3 linked regions of the Oryctolagus cuniculus genome follow. The protein of the gene in region 2 purifies or fractionates together with the protein of the main gene of each other region. This does not show direct contact. Links are inferred from orthologs where the notes say so. Each region holds a gene or a part of one and is shown on either strand. Other genes may lie near its edges. The genes, in order: KLHL9, USP25 and BTBD9.

The links.
Region 1: the proteins of USP25 (region 2) and KLHL9 purify together in Homo sapiens (affinity purification with mass spectrometry; 3 studies listed by BioGRID and IntAct, with this or other methods). This does not show direct contact. The link is inferred for Oryctolagus cuniculus from reciprocal best matches to the Homo sapiens genes USP25 and KLHL9.
Region 3: the proteins of USP25 (region 2) and BTBD9 purify together in Homo sapiens (affinity purification with mass spectrometry; 3 studies listed by BioGRID and IntAct, counting the BioPlex papers as one, with this or other methods). This does not show direct contact. The link is inferred for Oryctolagus cuniculus from reciprocal best matches to the Homo sapiens genes USP25 and BTBD9.

The regions. Positions count from the first base shown.
Region 1 is NC_091432.1:184,421,580-184,425,330, forward strand, and holds the start of KLHL9 (kelch-like protein 9), read left to right. Parts: upstream 1-967; coding exon 968-2,821; 3' UTR 2,822-3,751.
Region 2 is NC_091435.1:31,201,881-31,205,531, reverse strand, and holds part of USP25 (ubiquitin carboxyl-terminal hydrolase 25), read left to right. Parts: intron 1-2,174; coding exon 2,175-2,302; intron 2,303-2,978; coding exon 2,979-3,074; intron 3,075-3,651. UniProt on the Homo sapiens protein: Deubiquitinating enzyme that hydrolyzes ubiquitin moieties conjugated to substrates and thus, functions in various biological processes including inflammation and immune response.
Region 3 is NC_091436.1:131,095,021-131,098,771, forward strand, and holds the start of BTBD9 (BTB/POZ domain-containing protein 9), read left to right. Parts: upstream 1-1,229; 5' UTR 1,230-1,265; coding exon of another isoform or gene 1,266-1,320; coding exon 1,321-1,446; intron 1,447-3,751. Other genes in the region: translation initiation factor IF-2, read right to left, coding at 307-1,167, 1,266-1,322.

The sequences.
Region 1 (3,751 bases), on a different chromosome or scaffold from region 2:
CCAAATCATTGAAGTGTCTGTTAAATTATACCGGGTAAAATTTATGAAGTGTTTTATAGAGAAAGATCATTTAAGCATCCTCCCCCTACGGTTACTTTGCCAGGCGGCCTCTCAATTTATACAAAAATCGTTCTTATTTCATTGTTAGAAGCGGCCAGCGAGCCTACACCTTAAAGAAGAATCCAGACTCATCTACACCAAATGCGCGTGTAACTTACGGGTACTCCTTCCGGCCTACCCAGCCTCACGCACACGGAGACTCCCCCGCGCCCCGCTACCACCCACCTGCGACCGCTCGGCTTCTCCAACCCCCGCACGCCCCGCCCATCCCGCTCTTCCTCCCCCTCCCGGACACGTCGGCAAGCCCGCCCACCAATCAGGGCAGACGGCTGCGCAGGCGCAGTAGTTCCCACGGACGCTCCTAGCCCGGGGGATCCTGGGACTAGGCCTTTCCGGAAGGATCGGCTCGGCGTCAGTGGCTAATTCTGTGTTCCCGGCCCAGGCCCAAGGCCAGGCGGTGTTCCAGGCCCTTGCTGCAAAACTGGCCGGTGGCCGCGGCGACGGTCGAGTGACAGCGGAAGGCGCAGGCGGCCGCCCGCGGAGGAGCCCGGTCGCGCCGCAGAGTGAGCGGCGGAGCCTCAGTACGTGGCGGCACCTCCCCCTCGGCTGCGAGCGGAACTGCTGAAGGAGCGGCAGCGCAGGCCAGACGAGGTGAACCGGGTCATTTAACTGCCTTAAGGTGATGAATCGCCAGCCTAATAATTAGATTTGAGGTCCACCGCCGTTTGTGGCCCTGCCGCTGGAGAGTTTCCAGTGGACGACTGACTGGTGTGTCCTGAGGGGCGCCACGGTGACTGCTCGTCCTTGCTAGGGGAAGTGAGCTCTGTGGACATCTCTGTTTCCTGAAAAACATTCGGGTTATAATTGCTTTCTTCGGCATACATCTGTACAAGAGGGAGGCTTTCACATGAAAGTGTCTCTCGGTAACGGCGAAATGGGCGTCTCTGCCCATCTGCAACCTTGCAAGACGGGAACCACACGGTTTTTTACCAGCAATACTCACAGTTCGGTGGTACTGCAAGGCTTTGATCAGCTTAGAATAGAAGGTTTGCTTTGTGATGTGACCCTGGTACCGGGCGATGGAGATGAAATCTTCCCTGTTCACAGAGCGATGATGGCTTCTGCTAGTGATTATTTCAAGGCTATGTTCACAGGTGGAATGAAAGAGCAAGATTTAATGTGCATTAAGCTTCATGGGGTGAACAAGGTTGGTCTGAAGAAAATCATTGATTTTATTTATACTGCAAAACTTTCTCTTAACATGGACAATCTTCAGGACACTCTTGAAGCTGCTAGCTTCTTACAAATCTTACCCGTTTTGGATTTCTGTAAAGTATTTCTTATATCAGGAGTCTCTTTGGATAACTGCGTTGAGGTTGGACGAATTGCTAACACCTACAATCTAATAGAAGTGGATAAATATGTTAATAATTTCATCTTGAAGAACTTCCCTGCTTTACTGAGTACTGGAGAGTTTCTAAAACTCCCTTTTGAACGGCTTGCCTTTGTGCTTTCCAGTAATAGTCTAAAGCACTGTACTGAACTTGAACTATTCAAGGCTGCCTGTCGATGGCTAAGGTTGGAAGATCCTCGGATGGATTATGCTGCAAAATTAATGAAGAATATTCGATTTCCACTGATGACACCACAGGACCTCATCAATTATGTGCAGACCGTGGATTTCATGAGAACAGACAATACCTGTGTGAACTTGCTTTTGGAAGCTAGCAACTACCAAATGATGCCATATATGCAGCCAGTGATGCAGTCTGACAGAACTGCCATTCGGTCTGACTCTACGCACTTGGTTACCTTAGGGGGAGTGTTGAGGCAACAGCTGGTTGTCAGTAAAGAATTAAGGATGTATGATGAAAGAGCACAAGAGTGGAGATCTTTAGCCCCCATGGATGCTCCTCGTTACCAGCATGGCATTGCTGTCATTGGAAACTTCCTTTATGTGGTTGGTGGTCAAAGTAATTATGATACAAAAGGAAAAACTGCTGTCGATACAGTTTTTAGATTTGATCCTCGATATAATAAATGGATGCAAGTTGCATCATTAAATGAAAAGCGCACTTTCTTCCACTTGAGTGCTCTCAAAGGACATTTGTATGCAGTTGGAGGGCGCAGTGCAGCTGGTGAACTGGCCACAGTAGAATGTTACAACCCACGAATGAATGAGTGGAGCTATGTTGCAAAAATGAGTGAACCCCATTATGGCCATGCTGGAACAGTGTATGGAGGCTTAATGTATATTTCAGGAGGAATTACCCATGACACTTTCCAAAATGAGCTCATGTGTTTTGACCCGGATACAGACAAATGGACACAGAAGGCCCCAATGACTACAGTCAGAGGATTGCATTGCATGTGTACAGTTGGAGATAAGCTCTATGTCATCGGTGGCAATCACTTCAGAGGAACAAGTGATTATGATGATGTTCTAAGCTGTGAATACTATTCACCAACGCTTGACCAGTGGACACCAATTGCTGCCATGTTAAGAGGTCAAAGTGATGTTGGAGTTGCTGTCTTTGAAAATAAAATCTACGTTGTTGGTGGATATTCTTGGAATAATCGTTGTATGGTAGAAATTGTCCAGAAATATGATCCAGAAAAAGATGAGTGGCATAAAGTTTTTGACCTTCCAGAGTCACTCGGTGGCATCCGAGCTTGTACCCTCACGGTTTTTCCCCCTGAAGAAAACCCTGGATCACCTTCTAGAGAGTCGCCACTCTCAGCACCTTCAGATCATTCTTAGATCTAAGGTGTTATATCTTGGCAGTTCTTCATGGATGATCTCCTATTTCCCCTTCAGTTGTATCTTCTTCACAATGGTTGGTAGTTGTGAGATAAAAAGGTAACATTATTTGTCTTGTTTGGCTTTGTTTATCAGGTGGCTAACAAATGCATTCTGAAAGTGTATTCAACATAGCTGTTTTAACAAATGAAAGGAGATATGCAGAACAATGTTTAAATTAGATGTCTCTTTGTGGTGTTATTAAGTCAAATTGTAGGTGACTGTAGTAAATGTAATTGTGTGCATTATCCTTCAAAATTTTCATCTTTGAAAAACATCAAGGGGAGGTCTGCTGTAACCTAAAATAATAAATGAAAAGTCACCAATTATTAGCTACCTCCCTCTTTTCAGAGTTTTTCACACATGTCAACTCATTTGGTTTTGTGGTTGCATATGGAGTATGTGAAGTTTCTTAGGTCTTAGGCAGATAGGAGAAATAACAAAAATATTAACCAGAGAAACCAGTTTAGCCCTAAGTCAGCATTTGGTTTCTCTCCCTGGAGACAGTGGAAGGGTGAAAGAAAATATATGCATAATAAGACAAATAGGTACACACATATATAATTTTAAAATTAATTGGACTGTTTTAACCATAGTGACATTGTTCTTAAATTTGAATTGTTTCCATTAATCAGCTATTTAAGTGGGAATTCAGTATCAGAGAATAAATATCTGTATAGTCATACTGAATTTAGATAAGGGCTACAACATTCTAAATTGACAACTGTATTTGTCATTTGACTATAAATTGTTACTTCAGATGAAACTTACATTTTTCTGCTTGTATATTTTCTTTAGAGTTGCTCTTATACATGTTATTTAGCAAAGTTCAGAATTCATAGAATTTGCTTTTTCCCAATAAATTTAGGCTCTGCTATTTTCTACCTTTTC
Region 2 (3,651 bases):
CAGGTGCCCTGTATTTGGGTGCATGTACATTTATTATAATTACATTTTCCTGTTGAATTGATCCCTTAATCATTACATACTGCCCTTCTCTGTCTCTTCTAACAGTTTTTGTGTTGAAGTCTATTTTGTCTGATATTAAGATGGCTATACTATCTCCTTTTTTGCTCTCAGTTAGTATGTACTATCTTTTTCCATCCTTTCACTTTTAGTCTGCGTGTTTTTTCCATATTTGTATAATCTTTATGCAAAAATCAGATATATTCAACACTTTAAATCTCTTAATTTTGTAGATAAAATCAGGAACACTAATGCTGCCAATACTGATTATGTAAGCTCTTTATTCAGCAAGTGCAGAAATATGTTCCTTCTATTGGTTCATTATACAATACAATAAAATTAATGTGTTTAGAGGTAATGAGGAAAAGTGTTAGTTTGACTTTTCATGACCTCTTTCTCACAAGCATAGCATTCCAATAAAATTACAGAGATGTAAATACAGTTTTTCTGTTGAGTGACAAAGTTTTTTTTAATAAAATTTCTTGTGTTTCTTTAATTTTAAATGTATACTGCTATAATCACAATATTAATGTTGTAGAGCTGTTAAATGTACCATTTATATTTTTAAAAATTAGTGGTTGCTTGGTTTTCTCATCTAGTCCACAACAGCTTTAGAATAAGAAAATGAAATCCTTCTAGTCTTGTGTATGAAAATCTTAGCATTGCAGGTGGAGTAAACACATTCATAACAAACTTATTACATAACATTTTATGATTGTGCTGTCTTAAAGTAGATCACTATTTGAGTCATTTCATTTCCCATGACCATTTTAGAATCCAATGAATGAAAATACCTATTTAATTTTAGTGATGACATTTTTAAGTGTTGTAATAAAATAGAAAGGTAAGAATTTTTGGAGTATACTTGAGTTGAATATTGTGAAATGAAGATCAGTATTTTTCTAAGCCATCAAAACTTTTTCTTTTTACTTGAACACATGGCATCAAAGAAAGACCTGCACTACCATGTTTAGAGCAGCACTGTTCACAATGGCCAAAATCTGGAATCAACCAAGGTGTCCATCATCAGATGAATGGTTAAATAAATAGCAAATAGGTATAAAAAGAATGAAATTTTTGCAGCAAAATGGACACTACTAGAAGACATCATGTTGAGTGAAATAAGCCAGACTCAGAAAGGCAACTACCGCATGTTTACCCTTGTATGTGGGAGTGAAAATTTGAAAAACAAACAAAAAAGAAATGTTGCAGTATTGCTGCAACTATAGTTTTGTAAAACTTTGTTTTAATATCTTTGTCAAACCAATGGTTAAGTTTTATGATCTGTTTTTACTTCAAAATTTACTGTATATGTGTGAAAAAAACTTTTCTTTTTGCCATATAGGGTATTATTTTAATTCTTAATATGAATTTAAAAAGAATAGATGACACACACACCTATTATTTTTTTTTATTTGTCTTATCTATTTGAAAGGCAGAGAGCCAAAGAGAAAGAAATACAGGTTATCTCCAGTCTGCTGGGTCACTCTCCAAATACCTATAACATCCTGGGCTGGGCCAGGCTAAAGTCAGGAGTTAGGAACTCACTCCATCTTTCCTTACCGGAACCATCACCTGCTGCCTCCTGGGGGTCTGCATTGGTAGGATGCTGGGGTCAGGCGTCAAAGCTGGGACACAGTGCTTACATATTAATCACTAGGCTAAGCACCTGCCCCAGCAGTTGACATCTGTCCAAATTATGTGCCCAGTGTTTGGATTGTCAGCTTGTGATGATGCAAGTAAAAATGTATCCTGAGGGGCAAGTGTTGGATGCAGCAGTTAAAGTTACTGTTTTGGATGCCTACGCCCATATTGGAATGCGGCTTCTTGCTTACATGCACTTTGGTGGGCAACAGGTGATAGTTCAAATACTCACGGTGTCCCTGCTACCTATATGGGAAACTGAGAGGGAATTTTGGCAACTGGCTTCAGGAAGAACTGGTGAATAGGTGCTCTCTTTCCCTCTCTATATCTCTAAAATCTGCCTTTCAAATAAAATGAAAATAAAGAAATGAAAGTTTTTAAATATTGTCAGGTCAGCATCCTCTGCATAAAACTGAAATGGAGGAAACAGAAAGGTGGTATTAAGACTATTTTCTTATTCTATTTTCTTTTAGCATTGGTTTACTGAACTACCACCTGTGTTAACATTTGAATTGTCAAGATTTGAATTTAACCAGGCCTTGGGAAGACCAGAAAAAATTCACAACAAATTAGAGTTTCCCCAAGTTTTATATCTGGACAGGTATGGTTTGATACACTATATGACTTGGTTTTGAAATTAGTAGGCAAGTGAAGAATTTTTATAGTTAGAGGATAATTCTGCTTAATTTTGCTTTTTTATTATTAATCTTTACTAAGTATTAAACTAATACTATTTGTCAAAGAGATAGTTTATTTTTGTGTTAGAAAAATATAATTACTGGCATAATATTATATGGAAATAAAATATTTTTGTAATCCGAAAATTCTGATTGAATTTTAAAATAAACGCTCTTTTGGGGCTGGTGTTGTGGCAGAGTGTGTAAAGCTGTCGGCCATATGGCACTGGTTCAACTCGTGGCTGCTCCACTTCCAGTCTAGCTGCCTGCTAGTGGCCTGGGAAAGGCAGTGGAGGTTGGCCCAGGTGCCTAGGAGAAGCTTCTGGCTCCTGGCTCTGGCCTGGGTCAGTGCAACCGAGGCTGCTATGGCCAACTGGGGAGTGAACTAGCGCTTGGAAGATCTCTTTCTCTCTGGCTTTCCCTCTCATAATTCTACCTTTAAGATAAATAAATAAATCTTATAAAAATGCTAGTTTATATTATCTGATATCTTACAAAATTTCAACTGGATTAGTCTTTTTTAGTGGTAGCTAGTTTTAATATTGTCCCTAATTATAAGGTCCTTGGAAATGTTAATATTTATTGTTTTTCTCCTAATAGATACATGCACAGAAACAGAGAAATAACAAGAATTAAGAGAGACGAGATCAAGAGACTTAAAGATTATCTTACAGTATTACAGCAAAGATTAGAAAGGTATTTTAACTTTTATGAAATTATGAGATAACTATGGGAAGTCATGGGATTGGTGACTGTTTAGGTTTTTAATTTTAAATTTACCTTGAATGACTTACAAGTCTAGAAATAGATCTTGTCTTTTTAAAAGATTTTGGCTAAATAGTTTATTTCTGAGTTTTTTATCTGAGAACTATGATAATTATAATAATCTATAATTAGATTTAGAAGACTTAGTATTTAAAATCACATATATCATTGTCAACAGGTAATATATGGTGTTGAAAATAGAAATAAAATTAAATGAATCTAGTATGGGACTTTTCTTTTAGCATATGACTAAATGTTACTTTTGAGGTTTCCACTAAAATGAATGGTAGCTGAATTTTTCTCCTTTTGCAGAGAATACAAATTCAGATACCTCTCTGCTTCACAAAAGCTTACTAAAAGGAGGGAATTGGCATAGGTATAGAGTGATTGGTACAGGGTTGTCAAGAGAGCACATTTGTGTGTAGAGGGAGTGACATACAGCATTTATACATAGCTATGGTCTCACTGTTGTCTGTAGCTTCTGGTTACTTCTAAAAGAATTCAGAAT
Region 3 (3,751 bases), on a different chromosome or scaffold from region 2:
TGTCTGGAGTCTCCCTGCCCCATGTCCATTCCCACGTCCTGTTCACGAAGTTTCCCTTGCCTGGAACTAAGTCCTTCCCAGCTTCGCCCCCACTCCCGCACCCCGGTGCCCCAGCTTGCCCAAGGCCCTAGGGGGACGGACTTGCCAACATCACCCAGAGTCGCATTTGCACCCAGATTCACTAACGCCATTGTTCCAATGTGTTCCTCATTGCTCTCGCCCCACGGCCTTCTTGTAAGAGAAAGACACTGTCAAGTCTGGTGGGCGTTACGCTTTACAAAGCGTCTTTTCCCATATTAATCTGCTTTAGCTTCGCAACTTTCCAGTGTAGACTGGACGAGCATGGCTCGGTTCGTCACGCCCCCAGCAGCCCTCGACAACCGCGCACCCAGACCCATCCTGCACCCGGCAGAAGCTGCCCATCCGGCCCGCGCCAGTCTGGACGAGGCCACCGCTCTCGCCACCACAGGCGCCCGGACCTTGCCATCCGCAGTGACGTGCCCGGTGACGCCATACAGTGACGTGGGCTGACGCGACTCTCCCGCAGCCAGGTGCGGGAAGGGCAGCCACGCCCTGGGCCCTTGCTCGGGAGGGCCAGCAGGTCGGGCCGCTGAGGGGGGAAAGCGGCGGAACCCGCCCAAGTTCTCCCCGGGGCCCTAAACCCTGGGACTCGCCGGCCCGCGGTCGATCGGTTGCTAAGTGACGCCAGCGCGCAGAGGCGCGTGCGCGGCCACGGCGCTGTGCGTGAGAGCGGGCGCGCGCCGCGGCGGCGGCGGCGGCGGCGAGGACGGCGGCGACGGCAGCGGCCGAGGGGGCGGTGGCTACGAGGCGCGCGTGCAGCAGGCGGAAGAGGCGTCTGTGCGGGCGGCTAGGTCGCTGAGGAACATCGTTGGGGTGAGTAGCCGGGGCCTCGTAGGGGAGGTGGGGCCTGGCCGCACCTGCTGCGCGGGCCCGGGGGCGCGCGCCCCCACCGTACCCGCGCGCGCCGCTCCACGCCCCTCCGCCGCTTTTTTCCGGGGGGCGGGGAAGGGCTGGGGACGGGGGCTGACGAGGGTCAGTTTCTGGGCCCCGGCGCTCGGGGAGGCGGGAGTCCTGGAAAGGGAGGTGGGAAGGAGGTAACTGGGGGTGGGGGGCTCCCAAACAGAAGACTGAAGGGAAGCCCGAGTTCTCTCAGCCGCCCCGCAGTCTGTGTCGGACGCGGCAGCCTGAGACCGGGAGGAGGCGGAACCGGGGACCCCGGGGCTGGGGTTCGGAAAGTTTGGGACCGCCGGGCCCTCGTCGCCCCCGCCGCGGCCGGGCTCAGAGTCGGAGCCGGTTGTCATGGAGAGAGTTGTGAATCAGTGCCTGCGTGCGGCCTCAGACACACCCATGGCGACCCGGGGAAGGCCCCCCGCGAGTGTAGCCGGCGGGCGGCTGACCTGTTGCGGGCGGTGTCCGGCCTCACATGTACGTGCGCGGGCTTCCTCGGCACCTGTCACGTTGGAGGCCGAAGGGCTGCCCGCCCCCCTCTCTGCTTACTTTGTGTTGTTACATCTTCCAGAACCGTGTTGGGATTTTGTCATTGACAGGGCCAGGGAAGTGTGGAAGCCCTGTTTTTTGCTTGTTGCTTGCCCAGGACGTGGAGACAAGAGGGAGTTCAGCGTGTGGGCTGCGCGGTGTTGGACGGGGGAGTTAGTCCCGAGTGTAGACGTGCAGCGGCTCCCTTCTCGGGAGGACGCGTGGTGGTCCTGGTTCCTGCCGTCTTGGAGGGAGAGGCGTGTCGGAGGCCGGCAGGAAGCCAGCCTCTTAGGAGTTCCTTCTTCCTGGGGCAATGCTTAGAACCGGTGGGGGGAGAGAGAGACCACGCTGGAACGTAATCAGAAGTTTTGCCAGGAAATTAAGGAGGACAACTTCTAAGTTTTCATCCAGCTGTAATATCCTGTGATTCAGTCCAACAACTGAGGGTTGCCTGAGGTTCTTCCGTCCTGGGACCGGTAGCAGCCCTGTTTCTGTAACACTTAGAGCGCTCACAAGGCAAAGTCTCCCTCTCAGGACTGTACGAGGTATAGGACAGGAATCGCCTGTGTTTTCTTCCTCCCGGTTTGTGTGTCTCCAGCACCTGGAAAAGTGCTTGCTGCAGAGTGGGTATGCAACAGATACCTGAGGGATACTGTGTTGCATCATTTATGCATAGTGGTTGCTCTCTGCACGGATCGCATTTCTGTTCCGCTCATTACCTGCGAGTACTTACAGAAGTGGCCCCTTTTACTCCCACTGTTAGGCTAGATGTGGCAAGAAGATTTGGGGGTGACGAACGACTGAAGGCCTGACTTCTTCCTTCAAGAGCACACGGTCTACCTGGGAGAAGGAAGCATCTTTATGTTTATGAAAGAATTGTGAAAGCAAATGAGGTAGTAGGCAAACTAGTGCTATGTGAGGGCTGCCCGAGTACTTTGCAGTCCTGTAGAAATTTAGAAAAGATGGGATATTCGGGCTGTTAGGGAGCTCTTTGGAAGAGGTAATATTTGAACTAGTCTTTGAAAGAAGTGCAAATTTTGAATTAGAAAAGAGGTAAGAAATCACCTACTGAGAATTTGGTCGACAGAGGATATACTGAGGAGTCTACAGGTCTGGTGACTGGAGCAGGTCTCTCAAAGGGAAATATTAAAGAAATAAGGTTTGGCAGTCTGGGAAGGAAAAACATTAAAGACTAAGGCGGGCTTATAGGTGTCCCACGGATAACAAGGCATCTGTTTGCAGGGTGGCATGGAGTTCTGTTAATTGTAATAAAGAGTAAATTTTATCCTTACTTAAAAGATACTATGGTTCAAACAGAATCAGGTTGTTACATAATTTCGATTTCAGTTACTAATTGGGATGAGTGCCTCACTAAGGGTGGTAGTCAGCAATGTGTGTCTCAGTTTCTAAAATCGACCTGATGTGCTCGGGCCGTTCTATTGGAAATTTACTGAAATGTATAGAAAGTAGTCATCTAGCCATGCTCAGTGACACAGTTTTGCCTGGGATTATTTTTTATAGTAGACTATGAGGTTTGTAGTTATTCCTGGTCCTGTAAAAAAAAAATGCAAGTAATATTACTTGGTAAAGGAGTCTGCCTGAAGAAGGAAATTAAAAAATGTTACCAGGGTTGGGTGTTGTGGTGCAGCAGGTTAAGCTGCAGCTTGCAATGGTGGCATGCCATATTGGAGTGCCAGTTGAGTCCTGCCTGGCTCACCCACTTCCAATCCAGCTTCCTGCTAATGCTCCTGGAAAGGCAGTAAACGATGGTCCAAGTACATGTGTCCCTGCTACTTTCATGGTAACTGAGTGGAGTTCCTGGCTCCTGGCTTTGGCCAGGATTTGGGTAGTGAAGCAGCAGTAGGATGGAAGATCTCTCTCTTTGTCCCTCCCTCTCTCTCTGTGTCACTGCCTTTCACATAAATAAATAAATCTTTAAAAAGCTGACAAAAAGAATTGAATAAAGATACTGCTGCTGAATGTTGAACTTTTTTAAAAAATATTTATTTGAGAGGTAGAGTTACAGACAGAGAGAGGGAGAGACAGAGAGAAAGTCTTCCATCCACTGGTTCACTCCTCAAATGGCCACAGTGGCTGGAGCGGAGCTGATCTGAAGCCACGGAGCCAGAAGTTTCTTCCAGGTCTCCCACATGGTGCAGGGGCCCAAGCATCTTCCACTGCTCTCCCAGGCCATAGCAGAGAGCTGGGTTGCAAGAAGAGCAGCCGGAACAAGAACCAGTGCCCATATGGGATG